Linked DNA regions of Anolis sagrei. The protein of the gene in region 2 interacts with the protein of the main gene of each other region in a pairwise test. Links are inferred from orthologs where the notes say so. Each region holds a gene or a part of one and is shown on either strand. Other genes may lie near its edges.

Region 1 (9,369 bases), about 29 Mb from region 2:
TTCCTGGAGTTATTTGGCGTGCTGATTTTATTTATTTATTTACAGTATTTTTATACTGCTGCTGTCAGCCTTCCGGCGACTCGAGGCGGTTTGCAAGGCAAAATTCAATACCACCAAAAACAGAGTTACAATATAAAAATTTTAACATCAATAAAATCATAACAGCTGTAATAAAACATAATTCAATAAATAACCATTAAAACAATGTCCAATCCATCCTGTAGTTGATTCCGTTCTTATGTCCGTTACTCAGTATTCGCAAATGCCTGCTCAAATAGCCATGTCTTGAGTTTTTTCTGAAATACTAAAAGTGAAGAAGCCGATCTAATCTCAATAGTAAGGGCGTTCCATAGCCAAGGAGCCACCACTAAGAAGGCCCTGTCTCTCGCCCCTGTCAGCCATGCTTGTGACGATGGTGGGACCGAGAGCAGGGCCTCTCCAGATGATCTTAAGGCCCTCGAAGGTTCATAAGGGGAGATGCGTTCGGACAGGTAAGTTGGGTCAAAACCATTTAGGGCTTTATAGGCCAAGGCCAGCACTTTGAATTGTGCCCGGTAGCAGACTGGCAGCCAGTGGAGCTGGTGCAACGGGGGGGTTGTATGCTCCCTGAGAGTCGCTCCAGTTAGCAACCTGGCTGCCGTCCGTTGGACCAGATGAAGCTTCCGGACAGTCTTCAAAGGCAATCCCACGTAGAGAGTGTTACAGTAGTCCATACGGAATGTAACAAGAGCGTGGACCACCATGGCCAAGTCAGACTTCCCGGAAAACTGCATTGGATAGACTGCATCAGCTCTAGTTTCTAAGATATGGTTTTCTATGAAGGAACAGATGGTGACTAATAGATGCCACGTGTTCTATATCTCAAAAACTAGAGCCGATAGGTGGAAACTTGGGATAAACAGGTCAAAACTAACTGTTTGAGGAGTCAGCAGATTGGTGAAAGTGAGGACTAATAATCAAACAAATCAGCAAACTACTGGATAACTGTAGGAAAAGCATGGAGTGCTATCTATCTGTCATATTTTGAAGAGACCATCTGGCCCAGCACAGGGGCAAGCTGAAAGTGCATGCATCTCACTTGGAGCCACCAAACTGCCTTTGCTCAGCAGTCAAGTCTTGGTGGATAAGGCAAGGTACAAACACAGCTCACGTGCTAGGAAACAAGTGCTAGGAAACAACACTTAACCAGTCTTCCTTGCCAGCTTCAAGACTCAGACATGATTCCAGACTGCACTCTTTATCTGGTTTGTCTCCCAGGCTTCTGACTGATTTTCTCAGCTTCTTGATGCAGGATTGTTAATTACTATACATACAATGTGTGTCCATAGAGAGTGGCACTGCATGCACAACATTTCTTCCACAAGCTTGAACTGAACATGGACATTCATCCCAAAAGGGGATGTATGCATAATTAAAACACTAACAAGATTCTGTTCTTTGATTTTTATCTACCCCGTGGGAAACCAATTAGCAGAAAATGTCCTTGTTTGTTTGTCAATCTGCAAAAAGGGGGGCTATTTTGGGACATTCAGGTTGAATAGGATTTTTGGAACTCAAGACACTGACATTCCTACTATCTTTGAACTGCTAAGGTCTTGTTGTGTAAGGTCTTGCTATTCATCTTGCTATTTGTTGATTTATTTAAAACATTTACATTCCACCCTTATCTCTCCGAAGGGGATTCAGGGCGGCGCACAGCATATAAACGGCAAACATGCAATGCCGGGACAAGAATTTATATACGCATACATAAACATTAAAAACATGTATCTCAATATTGAAATACACAATTTAAAACCGTCCTGGTCATCAGTGTCAAATCTAATAGGCCTGGTAATCTTTCCTATTGCTACTTTATTGCCCTGTCCCGAATCTATGTACCTTGCCTTTCGACCATCCCATTTTTTCCAACATCTTCTGGCCAAATTTCGATTCATCTTTGCTCCAAGCACTATTCCGAGGATCCACAGACCATTTTTGCTTGCGACGTGCTACAAGAGAGAGAAAAGGTTACATGACCTGCACATAGATAGGCAACTAAGTTCAAATCTGGCTGTTCCTTCCTGCCATTGTTTACTGCTCTGAGGAACCTTAAAGAACTCAAATGCACTGGGAAAGGAATCAAATGACTGTGACCTATTTCCATTCTGACAATCCTAATGAAAGGTGCAGTAGCCCTCTCTCGTTTCCACTCTGGCAATCCTAATGAAAGGTGCAGTAGCCCTCTCCTGTTTCCACTCTGGCAATCCTAATTAAAGTAGTGGCCCTCTCCAGTTTCCACTCTGGCTACCCTAATTAAAGTTGCAGGAAGCCTGTCCACTTTGCCTAGTAGCTCCATGCTTGGCAATGATAGCCAGGCAACAAAGAGGACTGAAAAATCTCATCACAAGTGCAAAGAAGCCAGAATGGATGTCCAAAGAACTTCTAACTGTGCTAAGACTCAAAAGAGACATGCACAAGAAGTAGAAAAAGGGAGAAATCACCAAAGAAGAATTCAAACAAATAGTCAACTCTTGTAGGGAAAAGGTTCACAAGGCTAAAGCACAAAATGAGCTTAGGTTTTGTTTTGTGGCGGCAAAAAAAGCCAATGGGATTTTGGCCTGCATCACTAGGAGCATAGTGTCTAGATCCAGGGAAGTCATGCTACCCATGCTCTATTCTGTTTTGGTTAGACCACACCTGCAATATTGTGTCCGGTTCTGGGCATCACAATTGATGAGAGATATTGACAAGCTGGAATGTGTCCAGAGAAGGGCAACTAAAATGATCAAGGGTCTGGAGAACAAGCCCTATGAGGAGCGGGTTAAAGAGCTGGGCATTGTGTCCAATTCTGGGCACCACAATTGAAGGGAGATCTTGACAAGCTGGAAAGTGTTCAGAGGAGGGCGACTAAAATGATCAAGGGTCTGGAGAACAAGCCCTATGAGGAGCGGGTTAAAGAGCTGGGCATGTTTAGCCTGAAGAAGAGAAGGCTGAGAGGAGATATGATAGCCATGTATAAATATGTGAGAGGAAGTCATGGGGAGGAGGGAGCAAGCTGTTCAGCCGTGGAACTCTCTGCCCCGGAGTGTGGTGGAGTCTCCTTCTTTGGAAGCTTTTAAGCAGAAGCTGGATGGCCATCTGTCAGGGGTGCTTTGAATGCAATTATCCTGCTTTTTGGTAGGGGGTTGGACTGGATGGCCCATGAGGTCTCTTCCAACTCTAGGAGGGAGGAGGCTTGTTTTCTGCTGTCCTGGAGACTAGGACACAAAGGAACAATGTCTTCAAACTACAGGAAAGGAGATTCCACCTGAACATGAGGAAGAACTTCCTGACTGTGAGAGCTGTTCAGCAGTGGAACTCTCTGCCTCGGAGTGTGGTGGACACCCCTTCTTTGGAGGCTTTTAAACAGAAGCTAGATGGCTATCTGTTGTGGGTGTTTTGACTGTGCTTTTCCTGTATGGCAGAATGGAGTTAGACTGGATGTCCCATTTGGCCCCTTCCAACTCTATAATCCTTTGATTCTATGATCCTATGAGTCAGCCCAGATTTGCAGTTTACCTCCTTCTAAAGAGAGAGCAGCCAAGGGTGCCATCCCTTCCCTCTGAAGGTTAGAAAAACCCCATCCCATTCCTTCCCATCGGTTCAAAACTCACGCTCTGCCAGCATCGCCATCTTGGGAAGGGAGCGCTCCTGGGGTCCTTTCTCTCTCGCCGGCGCGCCGTGACCTTCCCTGCCGCCATCTTGCTAAGGTCTTAGGAGTCTAATTCAAACGCCGGGCACAAAGGAAGCCTCGCGAGGGAGAAAGAACAGGGTTAGGAAGAAGCGTGTAAGCTGAGACGCCGGGGAGAGATTTAAAAGAGGAATTGGGATGCGTTATTTGGTTTATAGAGTTGGGAAAAATCTAACCGGCACTACGTTAGTCGGCTAAATTGCAATTCCCCACCCGTCTTAGTAAGCTTAGGCGATAGAGTGAGAGTTGGTGGAAACTTTTGGGAGTTCGCCCTCTGTAGGACAGGAATGGTATTGCCTTCAAAAGTTTGTCCCAGAAGAATATATAGTATACACAAGGTTCTTGTGGGTTTTTTGGGGCTATATGGCCATGTTCTAGAGGCATTCTCTCCTGACGTTTCGCCTGCATCTATGGCAAGCATCCTCAGAGGTAGTGAGGTCTGTTGGAACTAGGAAAAAGGGTTTATATACCTGTGGAATGACCAGGATGGGACAAAGAACTCTTGTCTGCTGGAGCTAGGTGTGAATGTTTCAACTGACCACCTTGATTAGCATTTGTTGGCCTGGCAGGGCCTGGGGCAATCTTTTGTTGAGAGGTGATTAGATGTCCCAGATTGTTTCCCCTCTGTTTTTTTTTTTGCTGTTGTAATTTTAGAGTTTTTAATACAGTTTAGAGTTGGACTGGATGTCCCATTTGGTCTCTTCCAACTCTATAATCCTTTGATTCTATGATCCTATTAGTCAGCCCAGATTTGTAGTTTATCTCCTTCTAAAGAGAGAGCAGGAAAGAGTGCAATCACTTCCCTCTATAGCAAAGCACCTGATGAACCAACCTGGACACCGCATATTATTTGAGAACACAGAAATGCTGGACCACTCTCACAACCACCACGTCAGGCGACACAGAGAAGCCATTGAAATCCACAAGAAGCATGTGGACAGTTTCAACAGAAGGGAGGAAAACATGAAAATGAACAAAATCTGGCTACCAGTATTAAAAAAACTCTAAAATTAAAACAGCAGAGGGAAAACAATCAGGCACAGCTAATCACCTCTCAACAAAAGATTGCTCCAGGCACTGCCAGGCTATCAAATCAAGGTGGTCAGTTGAAACATTCACACCTAGCTCCAGACAAGAGTCCTTTGTCCCACCCTGGTCATTCCACAGATATATAAACCCTTTTTCCTAGTTCCAACAGACCTCACTACCTCTGAGGATGCTTGCCATAGATGCAGGCGAAACGTCAGGAGAAATGCCTCTAGAACATGGCCATATAGCCCGAAAAAAACCTACAACAACCCAATGTATACACCATTTAAAGACCTAAGAGTAAGCTAGTGATGATGATCCAATACAACAGCCAACAGAGTGTCTGCCGTGGATTCATCTTGTTGTGTTTCAAATAATAATAATGTTTGCCTTATATGTGTACTGTAATCCACTCTGAAATAAAGTGGAATATAAATAAAGTTTATTATTATTTTCCCTTATTTCACTTAGCAAAATGTATTTTGTAGTTGTGTGCCTTTAAATCATTTCTGACTTCTGAAGACTCTAAGGTACACAAACTGGCAACCTTTGAACTGGAATATATGGTGGTGTGGACTCAGATAACCCAGTTCAAAGCAAATATTGTGGGATTTTCTGCCTTGATATTCTGAGATATAGGGCTGTGTGGAAGGGCCCTGGGTTATCTGAGTCCACACTGTCATATAGCCCAGTTCAAAGCAGAAAATGTGGGATTTTGTTCAGCTGCGTGCAAGGGATCTGTGTGCGATCAGGGTGATTTGCAGGCCTTAGATCAGAGAGAAGTGCTGGAGACAGAGGTTGTCTGGGATTCCAATATCCATTCCATTTTTCATGGGAATTGGCTTTCAGAGGAAGATTCAGCAGATGGGGAATTTTCCCGTGATATCAGATTAGGCCTCTGCATGGAGGGAGTGAAGGATAGATTAATTTGGTGTTCAGAAAGACTCCGTGAGAAATCCATGAAATGCAGGTGTCAAAGAGATGACCTCATGGCTTCTCGGTCAGGTTTGTGCTTAAATTAAGTGATGTTTACTTGGTATCTCCAGAGCATACAACATTGCCATAGAATCAAGTTCCTGTTTCAGTTCTCAAGTTCATGAATCGAGTCTCTTGTATTTGCCTATGTTCCTGATAGAGTTTTGCTTTGGAAAATTTCCTGTCTTCTTGCTTATGGATTTATGCCTATGCTCTTGACTTCCTGGATTTCATGTAATTGGCTATTTTGGACAATTGATCTTTGTCCATACGAACTATTGCTATTTCATAGCTACTTTTATACTGTTTTTTGGGAGATGCCTTTTTCCGTTTTCTATATGCTTTCTGTAAATAAACTGCTGTAGTAAGTTACCGTGTTTCCTCCAAAATAAGACAGTCTCTTATATTTATTTCTCCTCAAGAAGACATAGTATGGCTTATGTTCAGGGGATATCTTCTTTTTTTATTAAGTACTAGCTGTCCCCTGCCACGCGTTGCTGTGGCCCAGTCTGGTGATCTGGAGATGAAGTAATGAGAATGTGTTGGTTTCTAATATATGTAATGTCTTTATGCTTGAGGGTAAACAGTATTTCTTGTTGTTTCTTTGCCAGTGTTGATGTGGAGATTGTCTGGTTTGCCTACTCTGGAACATGTAACATATCATTGTCCTTCTTTAGGGGTCCCTTTGAAATCTTTGATACTGCATCTGTCATATACATATATGTGTGTGCATATGAATGGCTGGATGGCCCTTTGTCAGGAGGGCTTTGTTTTGTTGCCCTGGTGAAGGGAGCTGGACTGGGTGGCCTTAAGGCAGCATTTCTCAACCTGGGAAGTCAATACACCAAGGGGGGTGTCAATACACCAGGGGGGTATCAGAAGGGTCACCAAAGACCACCAGGAAACACAGTATTTCCTGTTGGTCATGGGGGTTTTGTGTAGGATGTTTGGCCCAATTCCATCGTTGGTGAGGTTCGGAATGCTTCTTGATTGTAGGTGAACTATAAATCCCAGTAACTACAACTCCCAAATGTCAAGGTCTATTTCCCCCAAACTCCATCTGTGTTTATATTTGGGCATATTGAATATTCATGCCAAATTTGGTCCAGATCCATCATTGTTTGAGTCCACAGTGCTCTCTGGATATAGGTGGACTACAACTCCCAAACTCAAGGTCAATGCCCTCCAAACCTTTCCAGTATTTTCTGTTGGTCATGGAAGTTCTGTGTGCCAAGTTTGGTTCAATTCCATTGTTGGTGGAGTTCAGAATGCTCTTTGATTGTAGGTGAGCTATAAATCCCAGCAACTACAACTCCCAAATGACAAAATCATAATTTTTTGATTGATGGTCACTCCTTGTGTAGTGAGACATTTTGTTGCCAAATTTGGTAGGTACTGGCCCAGCTGTTCTTTTGTTTTTAAGCCACTCATTACGACATGAGCATTTATATATATATAGATGGTACAACAATCTGCATTTATGGGATGATCTCTCAGGGCTCAGTAGGAGACTCCTTGCTGAAGCTTTTTCCCTATTTATGGTATTTGTGTGGGGTGAGAGAGTCCCACAGACTGTTGCTGGTCAGTGCTGTGGAGCAGCAGCTTTACCGGTGGATTGTTGTAGGTTTTTTCAGGCTATATGGCCATGATCTAGAGGCATTCTCTCCTGACGTTTTGCCTGCATCTATGGCAAGCATCCTCAGAGGTAGTGAGCTTTACCAGTGTTTGTGTGGGGTGAGAGAGACCCACAGACTGCTGCTGCTTGGTGCTGGGGGAGAAAGTAAAACAGTAGCCACAGCTTTACTTCTTTCTCCTGAGCACACACAATATCCAAAGGAGAGCGTCCTGCTCCCCATTTCACTGAGGAGACTTTTACTTTCACTTCCTATGTCTCCTTCTATGTCTCAGCTTGCAGCACGCATAGAATGACAAGGACTTGACAGTGGGAGCCGACCTTGTATGCTGCATAGCCATGTCTATCACTATGTCTTATTTTATGGGTTTGTCTTATTTTCAGGGAAACAGGGTAGTTACTACTGGACTCTGTGTGGGGCTGGGGCTTTAGTACAGCTAGTAAATCACCAGCAATGATAAGATCTTCCAACTGAAAGGTTGCCAGTTTGAAGCCCCAGGTCGGCGTTAGCTGCTGACTGTCAGCCCAGCCTACTGTTGACCTAAGCAGTTCAAAAACAGCTTGAGCTCTAATTAGAGGAATTAAGTACTGCTAAAACAAGTGGGGGAGGTATTTTACGACACCATAAAGAAAACGTTCAGAAAATTCCCAGTGACCAAAAGGAAGGAGGAAGTCCTGATGGCTCCTCATCAGAGAGGATGGAGCCCCCGGTGGCACAGTGGGTTAAACCCCTGTGCCGGCAGGACTGAAGACTGACAGGTCGCAGGTTCAAATCTGGGAAGAGGCGGATGAGCTCCCTCTATCAGCTCCAGCTCCTCATGCGGGGACATGAGAGAAGCCTCCCACAAGGATGGTAAAAACATCAAATCATCCAGGCGTCCCCTGGGCAACGTCCTTGCAGACGGCCAATTCTCTCACACCAGGAGTCACTCCTGATACGACAAAAAAATTTTTTTAGAGAGGATGGAGCGACAGCACCCCCCTGTGGCTGGATTCGATAACAACCTCCAAGGTGCCAAAAAACCATCTTGAGCTCTAATTAGAGAAATTAAGTACCACTAAAACAAGTGGGGGAGGTATTTTACGACACTATAAAGAAAGCATTCAGAAAATTCCCAGTGACCAAAAGGAAGGAGGAAGTCCTGATGGCTCCTCATCAGAGAGGATGGAGTGAAAACACCTCCCTGTGGCTGGATTTGAGCACAACCTCTAAGGCGCCAAAAAATCTGGACGTCAACACAACATACCTCCTTTCTGTTCTGTCTGTCTCTGTCCTGTCTATCCAAAATGGCATTGTATGTTTGCAGTGTAGGTATACTGTATTTATTTATTTATCATGTCAGGAGCAACCAGACAGTTGTATTACATTTTTAAGAAAACAAACAAACAGACAAAACACAAAGTTTGCAATGGAGGTCCTCCATTGTGCATGTTGCATTGCAGCAGGTGGTCAGTGATTTGCTCTTCTCCACACTCACAGGTATACTGTGATCTGCCCTGAGTTCCCTTCGGGAGATAGGGCAGGATATAAATACAGTGTTGTTGTTGTTGTTGTTGTTGTTGTTGTTGTTGTTATGAAAAGGTGTTCCAAGGCTAGAGTGCAACACTTACCTGCTTCCAGCTGAAGCTCATTGAACAACTCGTCATCAATGTGAAGAACTCGACGATGAAGAGAAATAATCAGCCCAACACAGTAAATATTATTAAAATGAACTGTTTATATTATCTCAGTTGAGTCAATACAGTATAATGTATTAAAATGGAAAGGTACAAAATTGAAATAAATACTTTCTGAGTCATGTATAAATCTTTTGTCAAGATGACATTTTATGTTTTTTGTGTTTTTTTGTTTGTTTCTTTTCATCAGTACATGTTTCAATAAAACATTTAAAATGACATTTAAAGTATCATTTAAAATATGGTTTGTGGAAGAAAGACGCTCAACTCAAACTCAAATTTTGGCTTGTTTTGGCATGAGATCTTGACATAATCTGGGTTCCCCAAAACCACGTAAATGGTG
Region 2 (9,428 bases):
TCCCAGAAAACCCAGCCAGTTTACCAGCTGTTAAGATTTCTGGGAGTTGAAGGCCAAAACATCTGGGGACCCACAAATTGAGAACCTCTGATATATGATAATATATGGTTTTTCTTTGTGTGCATATTCTATATTGTAGAATTAATGCAGTTTGACACCGTGTTAACTGCTATGACTCAATGCTATGGAATCCAGGAAGTTGTAACTTCACACGGTATTGAGCCTTCTTTGCCAAAGAATGGAAGTGCTCCATCAAACTACAAATCCTAGGATTGTGTAGCATGGAGCCATGGAAGTTGAAATGGTTTCAAGCTGCATTCATTCTACAGTGTTAGATGCATTCAGTGAACCAGACCTGGGAGAGGAAGCCACCACCCAAAGGCTCATCACAGGAGGCAGGACCATTTTCCCATCAAAACAAAAGCCTTAGGGACATCACAATTGAACTCTTACAGACTCCACATTCACTCCAGCTTTTCTGCATTATTTGATACACAACAAGATTAGTACACAGCAAACAAAATCATTATGCTGGGTTTTGTATTTGATCACACGTAGGACACTTCCCAAGTGACTATGCCTGTGTGATGTATTGGCGAATAATGCATACAGATCTGAGTAGGGTAGCCCTTTGCAACTGACAGATGGTAATTTTGTCAGCACCAATTGTTTTTAAGTGCTGGCCAAGGTCTTTAGGCACTGCACCCAGTGTTCCGGTCACCACTGGGACCATCTTTACTGGCTTGTATCAGAGTCCCTGCAGTTCGGTCTTTAAATCCTCATATCATGTCAGCTTTTCCAGTTGGTTCTCTTCAATTCTGTTGTCACCTGGGACTGCAACATTGATGATCCATACTTCGTTTTATTCCCACAATCGTGAGGTAAGGAGGTAAGGAGTATTGTGCTCCAAAACTCTGCCAGTCTGAATTCCGAGGTTCAAGAGTAGTTTGACATGTTCACTTTCTATAACTTTAGCTTTGTGATTCCACCAGTTCTTTGTCACAGGCAGATGTTATTTGTGGCACAAGTTCCAATAGATCATCTGAGCAACAGTATTATGCCTCTGCTTGTAGTCCGTCTGTGCGATCTTCTTGCAGCAGCTGAGTATGTGATCTATTGTTTCATCTGCTTCCTTGAGGAGTCTACACTTGGGATTTCTAGTTGACTTTTCGATTCTGGCTTTGATGGCATTTGTTCTAATTGCTTGTTCTTGGGCTGCAAGAATCAGGCCTTCCGCCTCCTTTTTCAAAGTTCACATTCACTCCAGCTTCTCTGTATTATTATTTTATTGACACAAAAACACGGCATGTCACAGCAAACAAGATATATATGCTGGGTTTCGTATCACAAAATCACAAGTCAAACACTTCCCAAGCATTATTATTATTATTATTATTACTGCAAGTGTTATTGTTTTTATTGTGTTGTCGAAGGCTTTCTTGGCTGGAATCACTGGGTTTCTGTAAGTTTTTTGGGCTGTATGGTCATGTTTCAGAAGTTTTCTCTCCTGATGTTTCACCTGCATCTATGGCAGGCATCCTCAGAGGTTGTGAGGTCTGTTGGAAACTAGGAAAATGGGGTTTATATATTTGTGGAATGTCCAGGGTGGGAGAAAGGACTGTTTTCTTGCTAATCACCTCTCAACAAAGCATGCTCACAGGCAGTAAGAGGTCACACCCTGAGAACTTCTAGGCCATCAAATGTTAACCAAGGTGGCCAATTGAAACATTCACACCTAGCTCCATAATTATAATCCTCTCACTGTTAGGTGATCTATTACATACTAATCGTGTTTTGTTGGGAGAACTACTTCTAGGAATTGACATAGTGACACAATGAAGCTTTCTGTACCTGAGTAGCAGTATGATATATTCTAGGACTCGAGAGCATCACCCCGTTGTTGCCCCATTTACAGTTATCATCACCATTCCCCCGGTGGCACAGTGGGTTAAACCCCTGTGCTGGCAGGACTGAAGACCGACAGGTTCGAATCCGGGGAGAGGCGGATGAGCTTCCTCTATCAGTTCCAGCTCCTCATGCGGGGACATGAGAGAAGCCTCCCACATGGATGATAAAAACATCAAATCATCCGGGCGTCCCCTGGACAACGTCCTTGCAGACGGCCAATTCTCTCACACCAGAAGCAACTTGCAGTTTCTCAAATCACTCCTGACACGACAAAAAAAAAAACCTAGCTCCAACAGACAAGAGTACTTATTTCCACCCTTGACATTCCACAGATATATGCACCACATTTTCCTAGTTTCCAACAGAGCTCACAACCTCTGAGGATGCCTGCCATAGATGCAGGCGAAATGTCAGGAGAGAATGCTTTTGGATCATGGCCATACATCCCGAAAAACTTACAGCAACCCATTGTTTTTATTATTATGTTCAATGTATTGTCGAAGGCTTTCATGGCCGGAATCACTGGGTTGTTGTAGGTTTTTTCGGGCTATATGGCCATGTTTTAGAGGCATTCTCTCCTGACGTTTTGCCTGCATCTATGGCAAGCATACCTCTGAGGATGCTTGCCATAGATGCAGGTGAAATGTCAGGAGAGAATGCCTCTAGAACAGTGGTTCTCAACCTGGGTTCCCCAGATGTTTTTGGCCTTCAACTCCCAGAAATCCTAACAGCTGGTAAACTGGCTGGGATTTCTGGGAGTTGTAGGCCAGAAACATCTGGGGACCCCAGGTTGAGAACCACTGCTCTAGAACATGGCCATATAGCCCGAAAAAACCTAGAACAACCCACTATTATTGTTTCCTCTCTCTGAAACTACGCAGCTGAAGCCTGTTGATGTTCCCCCTTCCAGAGCTGCTTTTCTAGGGTGTATCTGCACTGTTGAACTAAGTCAGTTTGACACCACTTGAACTGCCATGGCTCCATGCGATGGAATCCTGAGAGTTGTAGTCTTAATAAGGTCTACTCTAGAGCATTCTCTGCCAAATAGTGCAAATTACAATTCCCAGGATTCCATCGGATTGTCCCATGGCAGTTCAAGTGGCATTAAACTGAATTAATTCCACAGTGTAGATGAAACCTCGAAAAGCAAAACAGATGCACCCCTATCTCTTCTATCTCTGCCAGGAGTGGGATGGCACAGAGTTGTTGGCCTTGCATCTACATTGTAGAATGAATGCGATTTGACCCCACTTGAACGGCCATGGCCCTATGTGATGGAATCCTGGGATTTGTAGTTTAGCACCTTCACTCTTTGGCACCCTGTAAAACTAAAACTCCCAAGATTCCCTAACACTGAGCCATGGCAGTTGAAGTGGTGTCCAACCTCATTAGTTTGACAGTGGAGATGCCCGGCTCAGGATCACGCTCCAGCCAAGGCCTCCCTCCTCCCGCCTGACTCACATCTGATACTCGTCGGTGGCCTCCACCAGCTGCCCCCAGGAGTCGAAATCGGTCCCTTTCCTGAAGCTGGCGCCCCAGCGCTGCAGGAGGCTCCGGGCCGCTTCCGACATGGCTCCCAGCGCTGCTAGGGCATCATGTTGGCCCCCGGGGCCGGGAGGCAGGGAGGGCGGGCAGGCAGGGCTCGCTCCGGGCAACCGCCGCGCCCTCCTCACTCACCGACCCAGCCCTGCTGCCATCGCAACCAAACCTGCTCCTCGCCGCCGAGGCAGCTGCAGCCAGCCACCGCCTCTGTGCTGGCCACGCCCCTCCGCATCAGGTTAGGTTGTGCCGGACCCGCCTTCCTTCCTCCTTTTCCCTCCATGGGGGCGCTGTCCATTGCTAACCCAAAGGAAGAGAACATAGAGCTAGACGCTTAGAGTTATGAACTCATTGCATCATTGCATACCCAAGGGGTCCGCGAATAGGTTGTATACGGCTAAGGATTTACAGCCAAACACTCATTGTAGGCCAGGCATGGACAAACTTCGGCCCTCCTCCAGGTGTTTTGGTCTTCAACTCCCACAATTGTGGGAGTTTATTAAGGGTTGATTAAGGTGCCTTCTAATCAAGGTGAAAGAAGAAAGCACAAAAGCTTGGTTGCAGTTATTATTATTATTATTATTAACTTCATTTGTACCCCGCTAGCATCTCCCGAAAGACTCGATGTGGCTTACAAAGGCCAAGGCCTCAAAACACAACATAACAATACTGCATTTTTGTTGACCGCCGTCAACAAAATACAACACCTAAAGCAAATTAAAAACAATTAAAGCAATAGTAAACAACAAGCAATAAACAATACATCAAGACACTATAAAACTGGGCCAGGCCAGAATAATGGGTACAAGATTAAAAGTGCTGATATGACAGGTGATATGTAAGGATTATAGGGCAAGTGCAGTGTGCGGTGTGCAGCAATCTCAGTTCTACTAAAGTGCTTATGGGACTTGGTATTGGAGATTTCCTATTCTGGGAAGGCACATCGGAACAGCCAGGTCTTCAAGTTCTTTCTAAAGACTGCCAATGTAGGGGCCTGTCTTAGGTCTTTTGGGAGGGTGTTCCAGAGTCGGGGGGGCCACCACAGAAAAGGCCCTGTCTCGCGTCCCCACCAAACGCGCCTGTGACGCTGGCGGGATCACAAGCAGGGCCTCTCTGGATGAACGAAGTGAGCGCGTGGGTTCGTAAACGGAGATACGGTCACGCAGGTAGGCTGGTCCCAAACCGTTTAGGGCTTTGTAGGTAAGCACCTGCACCTTAAATTGGGCTCGGAAAATAAACGGCAGCCAGTGGAGCTCCTTGAACAGGAGGGTTAAACATTAAAAAAACCATGATTGGTCAAAAATGATTGACAACTGGGAAATAGAGGGAGAAAACGTGGAGGCAGTGACAAACTTTGTATACACAAAATTTGTATACACACACACACACACATACTTTTCTGAATTTTATGGGACGGTGACAAAAATTACGCCTTTCTCAAGGCATTGGTTCTCGTGGACTTAGATGCCCCTAAGGCAGGGAAAGGCCTTCAGCCGCCATTGCTAGACCGGGCAACTCGCCTGGCTGGTTGCTTACCAAATGAAGCACTTCCGCCCTCTTGCCAGGGCACTGAAGATCACGTGATCCGCTGGGACTCCCGGGGAGCCTACGAGAGGGGTCGTCCTGCTGCCGAAGTTACGCCGCCGGCCCTTTCCTCGTGAACCATATTTGGATCTGCTTCCTCGGGGCTTCTCTCGGGTGGGGAATCTCCTACGTCACAGGTGAGTGACAGGCAGGTTTGTCATATTTTTTTCTCCCAACTGAAATAGTTTTGTCATAGGTTTCACCAGGAAAGGGTTGAAATGCAGAGCAAGTATAGTGTAGTGCAAACTTGGGCCCTCCAGGTGCTTTGGACTTCAACTCCCATCATTCCTAACAGCCTCAGGCCCCTTCCTTTCCCCCCTCAACCGCTTAAGCGGCTGAGGGGGGAAAGGAAGGGGCCTGAGGCTGTTAGGAATGGTGGGAGTTGAAATCCAAAGCACCTGGAGGGCCCAAGTTTGCCCATACCTGCTGTAGTGTTTTGTTTTTGTAAATATTTACTGCATAGGGCTCTTTTTTGTGCAGCTTCCAAACGACAGGCAAAGTTGAGCAGATAGTAATTCATGGCCTGCAGAACTCCAGCCTTCTCAATAACTGACTTCATTTCCCAGAATCCTTGAACGTTGCTCCAGGCGGCTGAGGCTTCTGGGAGTTGAAGTCCAAACAGCTTGGCCCAACAAGGGTTCTGTGGAGTCCTGTACCATAGAGAGGTGAGAGAGAACGCTCTACTTCCGTGTTTTCTTCCTAGCGGCCTCCACCCCCTCGACCGGAAGTGGTCGTCGTGGTTTCGGCTCCGGCAGGAAGTGCTCCCTGGAGACAGAAGGTAAATAGAGGCGACAGTTTCTGGGAACGTGGCTGACAATAAGGGCGAGGCGCTTTGGCTGGAAGCCTGCGAGGCTCCGTTGTTTCATACTTATGGGGGTCCAAAGGAGAACCCATCGTAGGGTTTGCTTGAGCAGACTTGTTCAGAGGAGACTTGCCATTGCCTTCCTCTGAGGCTGAGAGAGTGTGACTTGCCCAAAATGGGTTTCATGGCCAAGCAGGGATTTGAACCCTGGTTTCCAGAGTCTAGGCTGGGGAAATAGCCAGTTTATGTAGTGCAGTAGTTCCCAATCTTTGGTCTTGCAGTTGTTTTGAACTTCAACTCCTAGAAATCATAGCCAGTTTGCCAGCTGTTAGGAATTGTGGAAGCTGAAGTCCAAAACACCAAAGGTTGGGAACCACAGAGTACTGGGAAGGATGGTGTTTGAAGGGGGGAGGGGGGCTGCACGGTAGAATTAATGCTGTTTGACTCCACATTGACCACTATAGCTCAATGCTATGGGTTCACAGGAGTTGTAATTACACAAGGTCGTTATCCTTTTCTACCCAAGAGTGTGGGTGCCCAAACTCAGGGGCGGCTCAACCCATTACGCAAAGTAAGCATTTGCAGTATAGTTTATTTTGCCCAGGGGCACTCTTGAGGCACTCTTGGGGGAAAATAGACCTTGACATATGTGAGTTGTAGTTACTGGAATGTACTGTATAGTTCACCTAAAATCAAAGAGCATTCTGAACTCCACCAATGATGGAATTGAACCAAATATGGCACACAGAACTCCCATGACGAACAGAAAATATATATCAGTGATTGGTTTGGGGGGGGGGGCAAAATACCGTTTGCTTACCATTGAAAATTACCTAGGGCCGCCTCTGCCCAAACTACAACTTTCAGGATTCCAAAGCATTGCGCCATTTCCATTGAAGCGGTGTCAATCAGTATTATTTCTGACTTGGTTTCCTGCTTGTTTGCAGCATCAGTGAGGAAACACCTATGCCTCATAGACCTTACTATATGATGACGATGTGGTTGTTACTCCCCCTCCCTTGAGTGCCTATGGCAGAAAAGGTGGGGTATAAATAAAATAAAACTATATTTACTTGTATCCTGATTTATCTTTTTTTTAAAAAACCCTGTGTATTCCACACCTGGAATACTGTGTCCAATTCTGGGCACTGCAGTTGAAGGGAAATGTTGACAAGCTGGAATGTGTCTAGAGGAGGGTGACTAAAATGATTGAGGCTCTGGAGAACAAACCCTTTGAGGAGCGGCTCAAAGAGTTGGGCATGTTTAGCCTGGAGAAGACAAAGAGGGCTGAGAGGAGACATGATGGCCACGTATCAAGATGTGAAGGGAAGTCATAGGGAGGAGGAAGCGGTCTTGTTTTCTGCTGCCTTGGAGACTAGGACACAGAACCATGGCTTCAAACTACAGGAAAGGAGATTCTACATGAACATTAGGAAGAACTTCCTAACTGTGAAAGCTGTTCAGCAGTAGAACCCTCTGCCCTGAAGTGTGTTGGAGGCGCCTTCTTTGGAGGCTTTTAAACAGAGGCTGGATGACCATCTGTTGGGTGTGTCTTGAATGTGATTTCCCTGCTTCTTGGCAAGGGGTTGGACTGGATGGCCCACAAGGTCTCTTTCAATTCTATGATTCTATAATTTTTTTAGACCTGGATGCATACTGCATTCAGATAAGATGCGAGCTGATATAAACAGAGTATACACCTGATTCTTACGTTTTGAAAATACTGCGCTTTAACTCATCACAGCATGGAAGGATCAGTTCAAATGCCACTTTTTTAAAAAAAAAAAACTAATATTGCACAGTGAGGCATCTTGGAAGTATCAAACGACCATTCTCAAAAAATGGCCCTCGAGGTCTCTCCCAACTTTATGATTCTATGAAAAGACCCAAAACAACTAACACTAAAAACAATACAATGTATAATTTAAAACATACAAACATTAAAATGCGATTCAATATTGAAATGATTAAAATCAAACAGAACCATTAAAAACCTATTCACATAGCTAAAATGACACCCCTGGTTCGCTCTTTAAAAACCTTCTTCTGTAAAGCTTGCTGAAAAGAAAGGTTTTAGCCAATAGCTTGAGCCTTCCTTTTCTGGAAACCCGAAGTGCTCCAAAATTGTCCACCTGAATGGTAGATGGTGATTTAGTGTATACAAACTGTTTCATGGACAAAAGTATTTAAAATACTGTACAGGTTATGTGTATAAGGTGTGTATGAATTTTGTTTAGGCTCTGTTGCCACCTCCAAGATATCTCCTTATAGATATGGAGATAGTCAAACATCTGGGGGGAAAGTCCACTTCTGGCATTCTCAAGCCTTTTGAATAAGGGATTCTCATCATATACATGTGGAAGACTAATTCAATGGAAACTGTTATTCTCAGGGATGTATAGAGTTCCTGAGCATGTACAGAGCATTTTTAAAGGCAGGTATTTGTTTTTAAGTGAAATCTATTGCTGTGTGAAAGAGTTAGCTCTCCCTTCTTTCCGGCATATAAACTGGCTGATGTTTGGGTGGATATGAAATCTAGTATGGAAAACACTCGGTCCAGTGTCACAATGTGTGGAGATTACGATGAGATATGATATAACAAAATCCATTTTAAAATAAATGTAATGCTCTGATTAGAACTGTGGCAAGCAGTGCTCCATGAGCCCTGCCACATTGCAGAGGATGGATCATCATCTCCCTTCTTATGCTGTATAGAGAATATTTGGGGAGAAATTAGGGTAGGAGATGTACCTCAGGAATCCATGTGCAGAGAATTATAGACCTCATATACTACAGCTTATATAGTTTTCTTGTCATTAGTTTACAGAACTGGACCCCACAATATATTCTAGCATCTTTTGTGTATAATACTCATTCAGTTAATATAGTTCCTCTTCAAAATGATTCCTCAAACTAGCTCATTGAGTCACTAATGCTGAAGTTTTTTTACAAGCTGATATTCAATTGATTAGAAAAATGCTTTTCATTTTAAAACACTTTACGTATTGAATCACATAAGTAGCTACAACAAACAGTTCAAAAACATTTCTGGATGCATGTACAGTTGTCCTTCTGCATTCATATAACTCTCAGGGTGACAGCTCTTGATTATGTCCTTTACAAATGGAAAAGATTTCAGTATTGCCGTTATTAATAAAATAAGCCTGTGCAGTAGATTATGCTCTCAAGTGTCCTGCTAAGAAATATTGCATGGTTACAATGTGTATAAGGGTCTAGAGTGCCCTCCAGATATTGTTGGATTTCAGCTTGCTTTCATGGCAGACAACATAGACCAGTGACATGGACAATGGATGGGGGATGACAGTTTCTCAATCCATTGTTAATTTTTATAATGTATGTAAAGCCTGTAAAAACATTGATATAAAAGGAATAAATGTAAGCTTTTTACCTTGTTAAAGGTCAGTATATGTATCAAACCGATAAGAATATTGGTTGTTACAGAAATGTTCTAAGAACTATCTATCCTATTGATTTGGGTTTTGTAATAAATAAATACTTTTATTAAAATGGTTGCAAAAGCTGTGTTACAATAACACTTGAAACATTCAGTATTTATAGTATAGCTTCTTTCTGC

The links.
Region 1: the proteins of AIDA (region 2) and PINX1 interact in binary tests that used the Homo sapiens proteins (3 or more experiments, as listed by UniProt). The link is inferred for Anolis sagrei from reciprocal best matches to the Homo sapiens genes AIDA and PINX1.

Annotation. Positions count from the first base shown.
Region 1 is NC_090021.1:9,240,990-9,250,358, forward strand, and holds the start of PINX1 (PIN2/TERF1-interacting telomerase inhibitor 1), read right to left. Parts: upstream 3,705-9,369; 5' UTR 3,655-3,704; coding exon 3,636-3,654; intron 1,992-3,635; coding exon 1,882-1,991; intron 1-1,881. UniProt on the Homo sapiens protein: Microtubule-binding protein essential for faithful chromosome segregation. Mediates TRF1 and TERT accumulation in nucleolus and enhances TRF1 binding to telomeres. Inhibits telomerase activity. May inhibit cell proliferation and act as tumor suppressor.
Region 2 is NC_090021.1:37,978,631-37,988,058, forward strand, and holds the start of AIDA (axin interactor, dorsalization-associated protein), read right to left. Parts: upstream 3,647-9,428; 5' UTR 3,480-3,646; coding exon 3,370-3,479; intron 1-3,369. UniProt on the Homo sapiens protein: Acts as a ventralizing factor during embryogenesis. Inhibits axin-mediated JNK activation by binding axin and disrupting axin homodimerization. This in turn antagonizes a Wnt/beta-catenin-independent dorsalization pathway activated by AXIN/JNK-signaling.